Linked DNA regions of Caenorhabditis elegans. The protein of the gene in region 3 purifies or fractionates together with the protein of the main gene of each other region. This does not show direct contact. Each region holds a gene or a part of one and is shown on either strand. Other genes may lie near its edges.

Evidence for each region.
Region 1: the proteins of mif-4 (region 3) and Y54E5A.2 fractionate together in Caenorhabditis elegans (co-fractionation; one large-scale study listed by BioGRID). This does not show direct contact.
Region 2: the proteins of mif-4 (region 3) and R05C11.2 fractionate together in Caenorhabditis elegans (co-fractionation; one large-scale study listed by BioGRID). This does not show direct contact.

The regions. Positions count from the first base shown.
Region 1 is NC_003279.8:14,692,452-14,700,238, reverse strand, and holds the start of Y54E5A.2 (Recep_L_domain domain-containing protein), read right to left. Parts: upstream 6,086-7,787; 5' UTR 6,070-6,085; coding exon 6,000-6,069; intron 5,925-5,999; coding exon 5,650-5,924; intron 4,919-5,649; coding exon 4,687-4,918; intron 3,796-4,686; coding exon 3,701-3,795; intron 3,655-3,700; coding exon 3,537-3,654; intron 3,064-3,536; coding exon 2,892-3,063; intron 2,799-2,891; coding exon 2,771-2,798; intron 2,295-2,770; coding exon 2,116-2,294; intron 1,484-2,115; coding exon 1,381-1,483; intron 1,334-1,380; coding exon 1,236-1,333; intron 990-1,235; coding exon 738-989; intron 254-737; coding exon 192-253; intron 34-191; coding exon 1-33.
Region 2 is NC_003282.8:2,056,855-2,061,123, forward strand, and holds R05C11.2 (DUF38 domain-containing protein), read right to left. Parts: upstream 2,258-4,269; coding exon 2,142-2,257; intron 2,094-2,141; coding exon 1,349-2,093; intron 1,303-1,348; coding exon 1,024-1,302; 3' UTR 524-1,023; downstream 1-523.
Region 3 is NC_003282.8:6,334,730-6,337,605, reverse strand, and holds mif-4 (Macrophage migration inhibitory factor), read left to right. Parts: upstream 1-1,611; 5' UTR 1,612-1,618; coding exon 1,619-1,678; intron 1,679-1,722; coding exon 1,723-1,851; intron 1,852-2,180; coding exon 2,181-2,357; 3' UTR 2,358-2,376; downstream 2,377-2,876. Other genes in the region: blos-2 (Biogenesis of lysosome-related organelles complex 1 subunit 2), read right to left, coding at 2,639-2,676, 2,723-2,827.

The DNA.
Region 1 (7,787 bases), on a different chromosome or scaffold from region 3:
AAATGACGGCAGTGACGAGAAGCAGGAAGAATGCTGAAAATGTTTTATTATTTTTGAGCTGATTCTTTTTTTTTGAAATTCAGCATTTTACTTTCATTAGACGCGATAAGTTTTCAGAAGTATTAAATTATTGGAATTTTTTGTTGTAAATTCTCACTATTTCAATTTTAATTTTCTTCAAAAACTCTTACCAGCAATTGCCAGCGCCCAATAGAATACAGTATTTTGTATTGCAGAAACCTTCTCGTCAACTCTGAAAGTTCGAAATTTGTTATCAAATATATATTCCCCAAAATTCCAAATTCCATGAAAAGCCTCAAAAAATTCTGTAAAATCGATATTTCTGAAATATCCCGAAAATTCTAAAATCAAAAATTTTTTTTAAAAATCGCATTTTTTTGAATTTTTAAACCTTAAAAAAATTTGAAATTTTTCCGACGTTTTTTCGGACGTTTTTCAACTTTTTTTTTAACTATTCAGACTTTTCCAAAAATTATTTGGCAATAAATCAAACTCCAGGAAATTCTGGAAAATCGATAAAATTCCATTATTTTCAAAAAAAACATTAATTTCCCAGAATTTTCCCAACTAGTAGCAATTTTCGAAAAATTCTGAAAATTGAAAAAAATCGAAATTGTTAAATGTTATAAAAAGTTTCAGGGAAAATTGGAAACATTTGAAAATTGAAAATCTGAAAAAGAAAATCTGAAAAATTCCCAAAAAATTTCCAAACTCACTTTAAATTATGAAAAGTGATTCGAACCTTCTTCCGTTCCTTCGCCAAAATCAAATCAATTTTCATGTGCCACGTGGAAAAGTCAAGAATGAGTAGCTCGCCGCCACGTTGCACGGTTCCCTGCAGCAGACACGGGCGGTTCTTATCGTATTTTTTGGGTTTTCGAAGATCAATTCTCCATTTGGCGGACGTGGTTCGCATATCGTGAACTTCTGAATCCATTCGGATACGGAGATGTTGGTGGGCTCCGACGCTGAAAAATCGATAATTTTGCTCCTGATGATGTAAAAGCGCTCTATCGAACAAGTAGGCATTTTTGTGGAATCGATAATAAAAAATCGATATTGTTAATATCGATTGTTCCAGAAAATTTTGCGATAGAGCACAATTGCATCCGATTGACAATAATTTCCTAATCAAATTTAAACATGATCGAGTCCTTATCAATGTCTCCCATTTTGCAATTGCGCTCTACTGAACTAAGGAAGCAAAAACCCACGTCACTTTCATATTATCCATTCCAACGAGCACATCGATAAATTGCACTTGCTGACACGAATCGGAAACTTGCTCCTCGGATTCCACGTGGACGTCTTCCTAAACGTAGGTATGCCTACATGCCTGCCTGTCTACACTGAACTTACCATCGAAATATTGTGGCACTTGGCCCACTCGTAGCAATTCGTCTTTTGAATATTCGACTTGCAGGACTCTAATTCGATGAACATTCCAGACGTGAATTTGTGCCTGGAAACAGCAGTCGTATCAAAAAAACTGTTAATTGCCAAAATGTAGAGAATTCGATTTCCTATATTTTGTCCATTTACAAAATTTCATTAGCTTTGCTTTCCGCAGAGTTATAAGCGTTTTAAGTTTGCAAGGTAAGTGAGAGAGTGTGTGGCGAGGGGAGAGCGCAGACACCGCAGAAACTTTAAAGCGGTGTATCTCAAAATTGAAAAATGCTCAGAATTTCATGCTCTACAAGATGGGCGAAAAAGATTTTGAAACTTTGGAAAAAAAAAAGTTTTTTAGCATTTTTGAGAAAAATTTCAGCGGGCTTTATCTCGGTGGTAATAGGAGCTACATAAAAGTTGTCAACTAACAATTTGTAGAAAATTTTATGTAGTTTATTTTATTAATTAAAACAAATATTCTGCCTCCCACCCACGCAAAAATACACCTGTTTTTATGATTTCTGTAGCTCCGAATCCGTAAGAGCTACAGAAAACTTGTCAACTAGAAATTTCAAGCAAATTTAAAGTAGTTAAGTTGATTAATTGATACTTTCTTCGTATCTCATTTTTGCGCAAAGATATGGGGGTTTTAAAGAAGCTTTTAACCACCTCCCCTCAAAACCTAAAAATTCCCTTTCAACTTACCCAGCAGCCTTGTTAGCTACAATGAACTTTGGCACCAAATCACTTCGGATATCTCTTAAAATATCCTCAAGCACAATTCTTTTCAACAATGACGAGAACAATGGAATTCCCTGATGAGCATACGGAGGGATTGAGAGCAGTCTGTGAAGTTGGTTCAGTGACTCGCTGGGTTGGTTGGGCTGGAAATTGAAATGGTGAGAGGTGATGGGAATTGTAAAACGAACACTTTGTAGAGAATTTAATTTTCTACAAGTTGCTATCATAGATAACAACTTTTTGATATCAAGTATCTGAACGGGATTAGACAGGTTTTGGGCTAGTCTTCTGGGGGAAGTGAAGCGCTATCTCAAAACTCCTATAACTCGGAGAATTTTGTAGGTGCCAAAAAGTAGTTAACTAAAAGTAGTTAATTCTATAAAGAATCTAATTTGCTACATTTTGCTAGCTAACAATACTTTGAGATCTTACATCTGAACGGAGCTAGAAAGCTTTCGAACTATCTTGGAGGAACTCCTGTATCTCCGCAAAGTTACCTAGCTATCAAAAAGTTGGTAATCTGTAGAGAAATTAATTTCCTACAACTTGTCAGTTGATAACTATTTGGTAGCTTGTACTATTACAAAGCTACAGCCACTTCAAATAACTTCCATCTTACCTGCGCTTCCTTTTCCATTTTCCACTTCCTAATCGACAAATGCCCAACTCGGGTGCGAGCGGAATATTGATTTTCATTGAAAATTTTAAATATGTACTAAAAATAAGAGGTGAAAACTGACCAATCACTAGCAGTCTCATAATCATGTCCACAGATTGAGGTGGGACAGCAGCACGCCGAACAGCAACCCCAATCATCCCAGGAGATGAACAATTGAATATTGTTCTTAGTGTCGTTCACAGAGTTTATTGAAATTTCCAGAGACTCGTAGTTTTCGTAGGTGAAGATTTTATCTGAAACTGTATTTTCAATGGAATTCTCTATATTTTGTCATCTGTCAACTAATTGCCAGAATTTTGATATCTTCCTGATAAATTAAAATGAAAGGGTTGTTAACTAGGGATCCATAAAGAACGTTATATGGATTTTGGAATTTCTGAGTTTTTTCCTTAAAAAATGATCACACGAAAAAGTTGCCAACTAACAAAATATGCTCATTAAAATTCTATACATTTCGGCAGTTGACAACTCTTTGATAGCATTCCTCTGCGCAAAGTTACAAGCTTTCAAAGTTTTCCCAATGCGAGAGTGTAGAGGAGAAGGAGAGCGCTGGCAGTGTCTGCACTCTCCCCCTCCTCCGCGCTCTCTCGCTAATAAAACTTCAAAGCGGGGTATATCTCGGCGGGGAGTAGAGATAGAGAAATCATGGAAAACGAAGAAAGAATCAGAATTTGAATTTCTATACGATAAAGTCAATAAAGCTTACCATTCTGCTCTCCGTCCCCAATAATATCCTCATTCACAAAGTTATAGCTGCTCACAATTTTACCATTCAACTCAATTCCACACATTGTAGTAAATCCTTCAATTTTTCGAGAATGAATCTGTAAATTTTTGAGTTTTTCAGAGAGTAAAGTCCTGGAAACCAACCGCCAGCTCTCCATTGGGGAGCCCTATAGCTTCTCTGTCGGTTTCAGTGGCTCCATGCTCTCCACTCCATCTTGTCACCTTTCCAAAATGCAGGTCTGTGGAAGGTGTAGTTTGGCAAAAGATATAAAAAGGAAAACGGCGTCACAGGGACTGGAATCAAAAATGTGCTCACAATAATTTTCAGTTAATTTGGCTCAATTTCGGGATGATTTACAGATATAAGCTAGTTCTAGATAAACTATACAAGCTTCAAAAGTACTAAGCTTAGGGTTTTTAATGGTACTACATTATTTTAAGTATGATGAAGCTATTGTTTATGGTGCATGATTTGTGGATTTTTAAGCAAAATAGCCTGTAAAATTTTGTAAAGAAAGCTCCATCGGCTGCTCAGATACGAGCTTAAACACCAAGTGGCACCAAAAAACTTGCTAAAAGCCATTTACAACTTAAAAAAATAGCCCGCTCAGTAGCTTCATGTCGGGCTTAAAGGTCATAAAAAGTTGAAAATCAAGCTTTTGCAGGTTTCCAGTTATTTCGATGATATGAAAAACAAAAATTACACCACCAAATTACTACATTAAATGTATTTTTGAAACTGAAAAATTTTATGCTTCTTGAAAAAATGAGAATTTTCGGCGAAATTGTCGAAAATCGCAGGGGGGGGGTCCCATAGCAGTTGGGCGGTCGATTTTTCAACTTTTTGCTCTTTTGCACTCAACTTTTGAGATATCATGATAAAATTATAGATCCATAGGTTTTTTGGTATGCTGATTCCAATTCCAATACTAGTTTTCTATAAAAAAGTAGCTGTTGGGTGCACTGTACCTACTAAGCACCTTAGGAGTACCCTTGAGAGATAATGAAGGCTTGTGATATGTATGCTATGCTTAACTAGACTCATTGAATTCAGAAATAAATTTCTGATACTTTGAGGGTAATTTCAGCTAGTTCGTCTAATTTTCAGCCAAGTTAAATAATACACTCACTATTAATTCTCAAGTAATCCTGAAAATTCGAGACACGTGGCTCCTGTTCACAATCCTCCCGACTACAATAGTGCAATAAATTATTGATTTTTCGAGAGCCGATCGTCAATTTCGTGAAAATCTGAGTGAAATCACGTTCCGGGAATACGTAGTACATTTGATGGAGACCTTCAATTATCGGATGACACGTGGCACATTGCGGTTGGTACGGGAGGCCCGCTTCGCGAGTTTTCTGCAAAATAACGTTGATTTTGATGCAGGGGCAGCGTTTTCTGGAGAATTTAAATATCGGGGGAAGGCGATCTCAAAAAAAAAGGGGCGGGAAAAACAATTGAAAATTTACGCTCCGCCCCTATAACAGGTCTAAATTTTGAACTTTTACACTCAAATCTACAAAATTTTATAGAAAAAAAACGGTTTTTTTCATGTGAATAAGCCCGCAAAAGATAATAAAACACGTGGTCAGAGTGTCCCATTTCGGTGTGATCTTCAAAAAATGCGGGAATTGAGTCGCAGATTTCTCAACAAATTTTGTAAGTGTGCTGGCGACACATTTTACTGGGCAAAAAATTTCCGCATTTTATTGTAGATCATTCAAATTTACGCTACGCCTCTATAACATGTCTAAATTTTGAACTTTAACACTAAAATCTACAAAACTTTATGGAAAACGCCTGACACCACGTGTAAAAGTGCGCTTCACCAAATTTATTTTAATCATTTTTTTTTCTCTTTTGCTCATGAAATGAATTTGCTCACTAGAAACATATAAAATCTAGCAGAAAAACAGCTGCATTTGTCTATGATCTTAAAAATTGATTAAAACTGGTCTTGGCACGATTCGCGAGTGTGCAAACGCGCTCCACCGAACTTTTGCCGTTTTTATAGATTTTTAGGCCCGAAAAGCTAAAATTCAACAATATTATATAAAAATTATCGAATAAATAGAAAAAAAAATTAAACCTGAAAAATGCGAAATCCAATATTAAAGAACCCGTTAGAATCACACAATTCCTTTGATATATGAGGAATTCGAAACGCCGGATTCGATATAAAATATGGTAATTTGTGATAAATCGTCTGATTCCCATTTAACCATCCCAGTGAGTCGAATTCCAAGATTTTTCCGTCGAATAGTATATTGTTGTACTTGTGAACGTTCAGGTAATTCTCAAATCTCCACGTGTCTTTTGATAATGGAATTGAGGAGTACAGGGAGTAGAGTTCCGCTCGTCTTTCTGAAAAAAAAACAGTAGATTTGAGACTTTGCAGAAAGGGGCTGCAAACGCGCTCCAGCGAAGAGGTCTCCTTACCAAACTCGATAACAATTCCATGCACTGTCGAAAAAAGCATAAGTTTCAGAAAATTGAACAACAAAACCATGGTTGGTTTGGAGAAATGAAGCAGATTGATTTTTCAATGGATTTAAAAAGTTTTTACGTGATAAATTATTTTTAAAAACATATTTTTTAAATAAATCGTATCGAAAATTTAATTAAAAATTAAATATACCCCGTGAAATTCTCTACATTTTGTTAGTTAAACACTTTTTGATAGCATTTCTCTGCGTGAAGTTGTGAGCGTTTGAAGTTTTTTGGGGTGAGAGAGTGTGGGGGAGGGCGAGAGTGCAGAGAGATATACTGCCTGCACTCTCCTCTCCCTCCACGCTCTCAACACCGAAACTTAGAAGAGGTGTATCTTTGCAGAGAGGAAAGATACAAAAATATTGTAAAAAGGAAAAATGTTCAGAATTTGATTCTCTATATATTGCAATAAAAACAAATTGTTCGGAGTTTTTTTTAGTTTCTTGTTTTTTTTTCCTGAAATTCAAACTAAAAAGTGTATTTGAGCAGTGTTTTGCTCTACAAAGATATTCTGCATTTATTGGGTAAGAGCCAAAAGTGCCATATCTAACCGGAAGCTTATTCTACCAAATTTTACTTAACTAACAAAATATACGCCTTGAAATTCTGTACATTTTTGCAATTTACAATATTTTAATTGCACTCCTCTGCTCAAAGTGACAGGCGTTTTAAGATTGGCGGGTGAGAGAGCGCGAGGGAGGGGGAGAGTGCAGACACTGCCTGCGCTCTCCCCCTCCCCCACACTCTCTCACCCGCCAAAACTTCAGCGTGGTGTAACTCGGCGGGTAGGAAAGATAGAGAGGTAGTGTAAAAGACAAGAATGTGTAGAATTGGATTTTCTACTGGATAACGTTTTGAGTTTTAGCATTTATGAAATTTATGAAAAATGAATGTTTGAATTTGAATTTTCAATTTTTAGTTTTCCAAATGATATTTCATAATGTTTCCGTCTAGTTTTCATTATCAATTTCCCTATACTCTACTGTCTGAAACTGTTTGTTTTACCACGAAAATGACCAATACCTAGTGAATCATTGGAAAAAAAGAGCATCGCTTCCCTCTCCCGTCTCGCTCTCAAAACACACACACACACAGTTCCTTCCTTTCTATTTGCATGTATAGTTGCATTCTCTACGCAATAAGTCCACCTTTCCGTATGTGTGTGCTCCAAGAGCAACGGAAACTGGATTCAGGTGGTTGCTAACCAACCAATTTCCCCCTCTGGCTTTTCATCCTATAAGGTTTCCAATTTATCACTTTTTGTCTCAGAGAGCATATGTGCCTTTGAATTTATTGAAAAATATAAATTTTTAGTTTGAAAATGTGCAACCTTTGCTAGATGTTTTGCTTTAAAAAGCACTCGCGCTATTTTTTACTTGTTTGTGCGTGGTTTTACGAATTTTTAACTAAATATTTCTTAAGCCCCCTATATCTTCCTGAAAAATGAAGATATCAAAATTTTCTCAGCCAACAAAATATTCTCCTCAAAATTCTCTACATTTTTGCAGTTATCATTGTTTCTCTACCTCTTTTTTCCACAGAGTTACACGCGTTTCAAATTCGACGGGGTGAGAAAGTGTGGGGGAGGGGAGTGCGCAGACACTGCGCTCTCTCCCTCTTCCACACTCTCTCGCCTTCAAAACTTTGAAGCGGTGTATCTCTGCAAGTAAGATAGGTAGAAGCATACTGTAAAAGCAAAATTGTGTAGAATTAGATTTTCTAAAAGATTGTAAAGTT
Region 2 (4,269 bases), 4.3 Mb from region 3:
TTCTATGAATTTATTGATTTTTTTTCAATCACCCGGCTTCTTCAATTTTTCTGTATTTTTGTGATTTTTTTCGAATTTTTTGGTTAAAAATTCATCATTATTCGGTGCTTTTTCTCATGTGCTTCTTTCAAAATTCTTCCATGTTTGTTGGAATATATGGAATTTTTATGTAAAAATCTTCGATCTCTGCGCTTTTTGCTTCAATAAAAAAATTTAATACCGCGGAAACATTCGTTTGAAGAAAATTTCTTAATTAAGAAAAAGTTCAATTATCACCTTTTCCAGCAAGTTTCCAGCTTGAAATTTTTTATTTATTTAATTATTCAATCATTTCTCATAGTGAGACTTATTATTGATTTATGCTTTCATTTTGTCAAAGTGCGTCCATTTTGTATATATATATATTTTTTTTTTTTTTATGTTGCACAATATTTTCAGGTTAAACAAATATTTAGATACATTTAACTTTACCGTAAAATATGAAAAGGTGCACAGTAAATTGAGAATAATTAAGAAATAAATGTTTAAATTTATTATAAGTGAATTTATTTATTTATAAAAATAGTACGTGAAATATCTATATCCACGCCATTAAAAATTATATTTAAACGTACAAAAGATTCATGCACATGAAAGTATTGTTTAAATTAGGGTTCCCAGCTGAGTGAGGCGCAAAATGCGGGCCTCACGCCGGCCTCACGCCGGCCGGCCTTCGCCTTCGCCGTTCGCCGCTTTCAATAATAATGACGTGAATTTTAAATTTTAATTTTCAAAAATTCGTTGAAAATTTAGAAAAAAAATATAAGAAATGAAAATAAAAGTTTATGTGTAATTCAGTGAAAGGCGAGAGTGACGCCGTGAGGCCGGCGCGGCGACCGCTGAGGCGGGCGAAGGCGCCTTTGCGGCGACCTCATGGGAGCCCTAGTTTAAATCAGGTGAAAAATTAATATTTGAAAAAAAAATCATTAGGGACAACTTTTCGTCCCGTTGGCGAGGAACAGGGAAGTGACCTTTACAACAGCTCTAGCACCTAGCCGGACTAGATTCCCTCGGAATAGCCGGACTAGATTCCCTCGGAATACGATTAAACATGAATTTTTTAAGATTTTGATAATATCGAATTTGTAGATCATCTGTGTCGTTCATGCAATTGAAAAACCAAATGCTAGGTTGATTATTTGTAGAATCGGTAACTATGCGAAACGGAATTCCCAAAAATCCTTCTTGAAATATAGAATTATTTACGTCACTGTTCACAAATGTGACCTTGAACTGGAGAAAGTCCGGTGAAACTAGGAACATCTGAAATTATTTTTTTTTAAAAATTACATGAGATATTCGAACTCACATCTCTCAAATATATAACATTTTTCAATGATAACGAATCCAAAATTATGTCAACTTTTCTGAAGTGAACAAGATTTTCAACATCACACTTGATAACACGCTTAATAATTGTCAACTCTTTCGCATTCCTCCATTGTTCCATGACCAAAAACTCTTCAATGCTCCATACATCACTTGCAGGTACGTCGAAAGATGTTCCAAACTCAATTTTGTTCAGCTTAGAGGGATCCACGGATTGGAGCAGTTGCACTATGGTTTTTTGGTTTCTTGTTGTGACAACCAACTTTTCCACTGGCAGCAATCGACCCAGCGAGGCGTGCAAATCTTTGAACGATTTCAAAAATCGATTCTCATTCTGGTCCCAGATTGAATGACTTTCTGTTTCCTGGGGATTCCCCTCAATTTCATCCATGTATTTTTTTTCTTCTTCCGTAACATCCTTGAAACTTGACTCGCTGGTTTCATCAACTTGCATAAAATTCATTTTAAGTTCTTCCAAAGCAGATTTTTGATTTTTCAAAATAAGGAACAAGTCGTTTGAAAAGTTGCCGTAATCCAACTCGCTAGATTTTCTGGATAATCTTGAAGCCTTATATGAAACTTTTCGGTTTGTGGATTCGGTAAACATCTCAAGAAGTGCGCACCCAATGCTTTGAACATGAATGCCGATTTTGAGTAATTTATGGTCTGGTTTGATAAGGTCGATGCACTGACGGCTTCCATAAGAAATTTTACGGAGCACTTGTCTGAAAAAATAAAATTCAAGCTAAAAAAAATCAAAAGACTTTACATACATATCAAAAAAATCGAGACGTTCAACAACGCTGTTCATAATCACAGTGTTGTAGAACCACAAAGTGCTTGATATCGATGAGCCAGAAACTTCAGACAAAAGCTTCGTTTCATCCATTGTCAGCTGCTCTAGCTGGTTCTGAATAGTTGCATTGTTAACAATAATTTCGTTTCGTGCAAGTATTACACTGTAGGAGAAATAAAATATGCCTGTTCTGTGCTAACTCTAGCTTTTTCTCGTGTCGGGCCATAAATTGAGCAAGATTTTGGCAAAACTTGGTTTAGGTTGCTCTTGATCTGCCACTCTTATCTAATTAGGAAATAATGTTAATTGGACATTAAAAAAGACAGAAGTGAAATGGAAGATCAGATTTTTGGCTACATGAGTTTTTTTGGGGTTACCTGGAACTTAGCAGAATAAAAAAGAATTTAAAAATGATTGCAATGTTCCTATTCGTGTATTTTTTTTTTTCGAAAGTTTTCGAAATTTTTTGTGATGTCTCATTATGAAATTCGGTGGTTTTGGACCAGTTTTAGTCTATTTAAGCAAAATATCCACAAACTCTACTCCCCCTTTAAGTTGATTCACAATTTGGAGAAAAATGCAAATTTAACGAAAATCTGAACTTTTGCCATGATGTCAATGTTATGCCGCAGTGACCGAAAGTTGAAATAATTTAATTCGCACTCTAGTTTGCATGTGGTAATTGGTACATTCAATTTCTAAGTCACAACATCTTGACAGTTTTTCCACACAGCAGGACACACGAATTCTTTTTCAGCATCAGATTTTGTCAGCTCCAAAACTGTTGTACAGGCTCACCTGCTAAAGGTCACTCTCTCGCAAAATATGTAGGAGGCAGTTATATTGCCTGTGTATCTCTACAAACTCAACTCTCTCTATACGCTCACAGGCCACTCCCGTTGTGGGGGAAAAACGGTCAAGATGTTGTGACGTAGAAATTGTAGGTACCAACTATGCTCACTTACCAATTATCAACATGCATAGTCGGTACCTTTTCACTAGTCAAGAACATTGATCACATAGAGTCTACAAATTTTCTGACCGAATATATGTTAATTGGAAATAAAAGAAAAGAGCCAAACTTTCGACGCTTTCACTAATTAAATAATTTTTCTGGGCTTCTTTCCGTTAGTTTTTCGTTGTTCTTTTTGTTGCATAGATTGCATAGCAAAAATAATTTATTCATAGGAAAATTGACAACTGACAAAATTGCCGAAAAAAAATCTAAATAACCCCTATGCAAATTTAGCTATTTACCTGTTAAGTTTTCCAGGTTTTCATAAATTCCCCAAATCCAAGTACTGCTCTAAAACAAATAATCTAAAAATTGTCCAGCTTGAAAAACAAATACCCATCTTCCCAACGTCTTCCAGGAAATTCTAACCGCAATAATATTTTCCTGCATTGCATCCAGATGTTAGTTATTGGAAATATATGAACATGCGAAACGGAAACCAATATTTTCTTGGAACATCTTAAAATGAATGAGATTAGTTTTTCTTTGTATAGAGCTTCTTTACACCTATTACCCTACTCATATGAGTTGATTAAATGTATGGGTACTGTAAGGGTACGGTAGTTAAACTCAAAACTGAACTGTTATTATAATTCTTGCCTACTAATATTTACTGTTGAATTTAGTCATTACGGCCCATTTTCTATTATTTAAAGCAAAAAAATTGACTCTACTCCAGTGGTGGGCGGCAAACGATTTTTTCCGGCTAATCAGCAAATTACCAGAATTGAAATTATAGGCAAATCGGCCAACCAGAAAATTGCCGATTTGCCGGAAAAAACACTTCCGGCAAATTGATATCCGACAAATCGGCAAACCGGCAAATTACCGGAATTCAAAATTCCCGGCAAATCTGCAAACCGGCAAATTGGCACAATTGAAAATTCCCGGCAAACCGGCAAATTGGCCGAATTGAAAATTCCCGGCAAATTCTCTAACCGGAAAATTTCAGGCAAGTCGATTAACCGGCAAAGTGCCGGAGTTAAAAATTTCCGGCAAATCAGCTAACCGGAAAATTTCCGGCAAAGTACCGGAGTTAAAAATTTCCGGCAAATCGGCGGAATTGAAAATTCCCGGCAAATCGGCAAAT
Region 3 (2,876 bases):
TTTTTGCGCCAGATATACGGTAGCCGGTCTCGCCACGAACAATTTTAGTTAAATGCGACAAGGTCTCGGTTGTTGCGGAATTTTTATAGAATTTCATAGTTTTTTAGACAAAAAACACTTTTATTTATGTTTAAAACAACTCAAATATAACAATAAAACGCATGAATTCCAACAAATCGATGCTACAGTAATCTTTAAAGGCACACGTCTTTTCACATTTCCTATGCTTGTCGTGTCGAGACCGTGTGCCGTATTTCTGGCGCAAAAAACAACAAAATTTCGCTTTTGAACAATAATTAAATAAAAAAGAAATTTAAAAAATGAGACGTGGGAATTGTATACGGTTAATTTCAAAGAATTCACGGGAAAATTCATTGAAAAAATTCAAATCTCAGAAAAAAAGTGAAGAGTGAACAGTTTTAGAAACCTTGTCAGTTTGGAAAACTACGTGATAACTCAAAAGAACGGAAGAAAGTTTCTCACTTTTCCGTGTCTCTCTGTAATCTCTTGACAAAGCCCACTATTTCAGGCCATCAGAGAACAGGGTCGGGAGGATCACGCCACTCGTTTCAACACTCAGTAGTCCACAGCTTGCACTACCCACATTGTTTCTCCGTCTGCGTATCCACGTCTTATGTTGTCTCTCGCATTGTCTTTCTATTTCTGAGTCTCTTGCACCTCTCTGTCATCATGCATATATACAATTGAAATGGAAAGGACAGACTGCACTAAACCGAAAAGCACGTGGTCTTGTCTGGGAGGAGAAGAATGTTGAAGACAAATCACACGACAACGTGATATGTGACGTCACAGAGGGGAGTCCCCACGTGACAGGTACTTTAATGAGACAGAGAAAGTTCGAAATGTTGAGTCACGAATCGCGAACGGAATTGAGCCGAGTGGAAAAAAAGAGTTGGAAATTTCGAGATGAGCAGCCAGCTGATTTAGTCTACAGTAATCTAGAATAACTAAACAAAAGTTTTTGAACCTATTCCAGCTTTATGAGTCATGAAAAATGGAGCGCAGCAATAAAAATATGGTGTACGAATTTCAGGAAATACTTCTCGTTAACAAAGATAGTTTGAAACTACAGTACTGTTCAAAGCGCTGACATGGTTGTGTCTAAGAAAAATTGTCGTACCGAGACCTGGTACCGTATTATTATAGCAAAAATCGCGAAAATCTGCATCTGAATAATATCAACTACATAACTGAGATCGTGGCGAGACCCTAATGAAATTACGATAATATAAATAATATTGATTCAAAACTGTGATTCTTGCTTCTAGTTGTTGCAACACATTCTGATCTGTGTCTCCCTAACCTACTTCCGATTTTCACCAAAAAAACCGTGTGCCCAACCCAAAATTCAAGGTCAAACTTATTTCCATTTCCCCGTACTAATTGTTTCCATGTCATCCCATTTCTGTCCATCCTGCGCACATAACATTGACAAATGGAGTTGTGTATTTATTGTCGAGTGCACGCTCTTTTCTTCGAGCGACATGTTTTCTCAGCTGGCTGAGCATTTTTTCCCGTTGGTTTTTATGTTGCGAAACGACAATTTCTCTTTTTTTTAAAATATTTTCAAGCCGAATTTCAAAATTTTAGAATTAAAATGCAAGTTGTTCGAATTCAAACCAACATCCGAAGTGCTGATATTCCAGAAAAGTTTGAAGTAAGTTTGCATAAAACGAAATTTCTAATTTCTAATATTTTCAGCAAGATGTGATCTACAATTTATCAGTTGTAATGGAATTACCAGCTGATAAATTCGTGATTATTGTTGAGCCGGCAGTTAGAATGAGAATTGGATTTGAGAATAAAGAAATTCCAGTTGCAATTGTAAATGTGCGTTTTTTTTTATTTTGAAAAAATATTAGGCTTGGGTCTTGTCACGTGTAAAATTTTTCAGCTACAGTAACCTGTGTATTTTTCAAAATCTGAAAACTTTTTTATAATTAAAATTTTTTTAATCGAGAAGAAATGTGTGAAAAATAGAAAAACTAACTAGATTCATAAAATATAAGTTAATTTTATGAGAAAAATATTTTTAACTAAAAAGTGATAGAATACCGGGGTACGGTAGCTGACAAGTTTTGGACGTGCCGGGACCAGAGACCGTGTTTTTTTTTTTTGAAAATGTCAACTCGTTGAAAATTAAGAATAACAATTTTCAGTTCCAAACAACCCGGCCTTCTTCTCGAATCGAAAATGACTCATATGCAAAAAAATTGACATCAGTGCTCAATGAGCAGTTGAAGCTTGATCCCGCCCATATTTTCATATCATTTGATTTTAAAGATGCAAAAAGTTTTGCAACTCAAGGGAAGACAATTGCTTCTTTGTATGAATAAATTTGTAAAAAAGTTGAAACGCATGGATTTAACAATGAAGTAAACATCTGAAAACATCGAAAAAAACAAGACAAAGCATAATTCATAAGTTATTTTATAGCAAAAGGGAGGGAGCAAAATTAGCATTAATGAGAAATAGAAACTTTGACAAGAAAATGTAAAAATAAGTTATGCTGAATATAATGACTAGAGTTACATAAATTATTGAACGGAATGTGAATAAGAAATCACACATTAATTTAGTTACAGAAAAGCTGGAAATAGTTTGAGATTGAGCTGGCTTATTGGCTTTGCTGTTGGATGTTGGTGAGCTTGGATTCTGAAATTAAAAATCTTTGAATTTTTTCTTGAAAGGCTTAACCTACCGAGTTGGGTAACATAATTTTCAAGAACAGCGGTAGCTTCCTCCAATCTCCGGGTGCTCTCATCCATAGCATCAATTTGGGAAAGATATGGACGCAGATTCTCGTCTGGAAAATAATCTTTCATAAATTTTCCGAAATAAATAATAAAGGCATA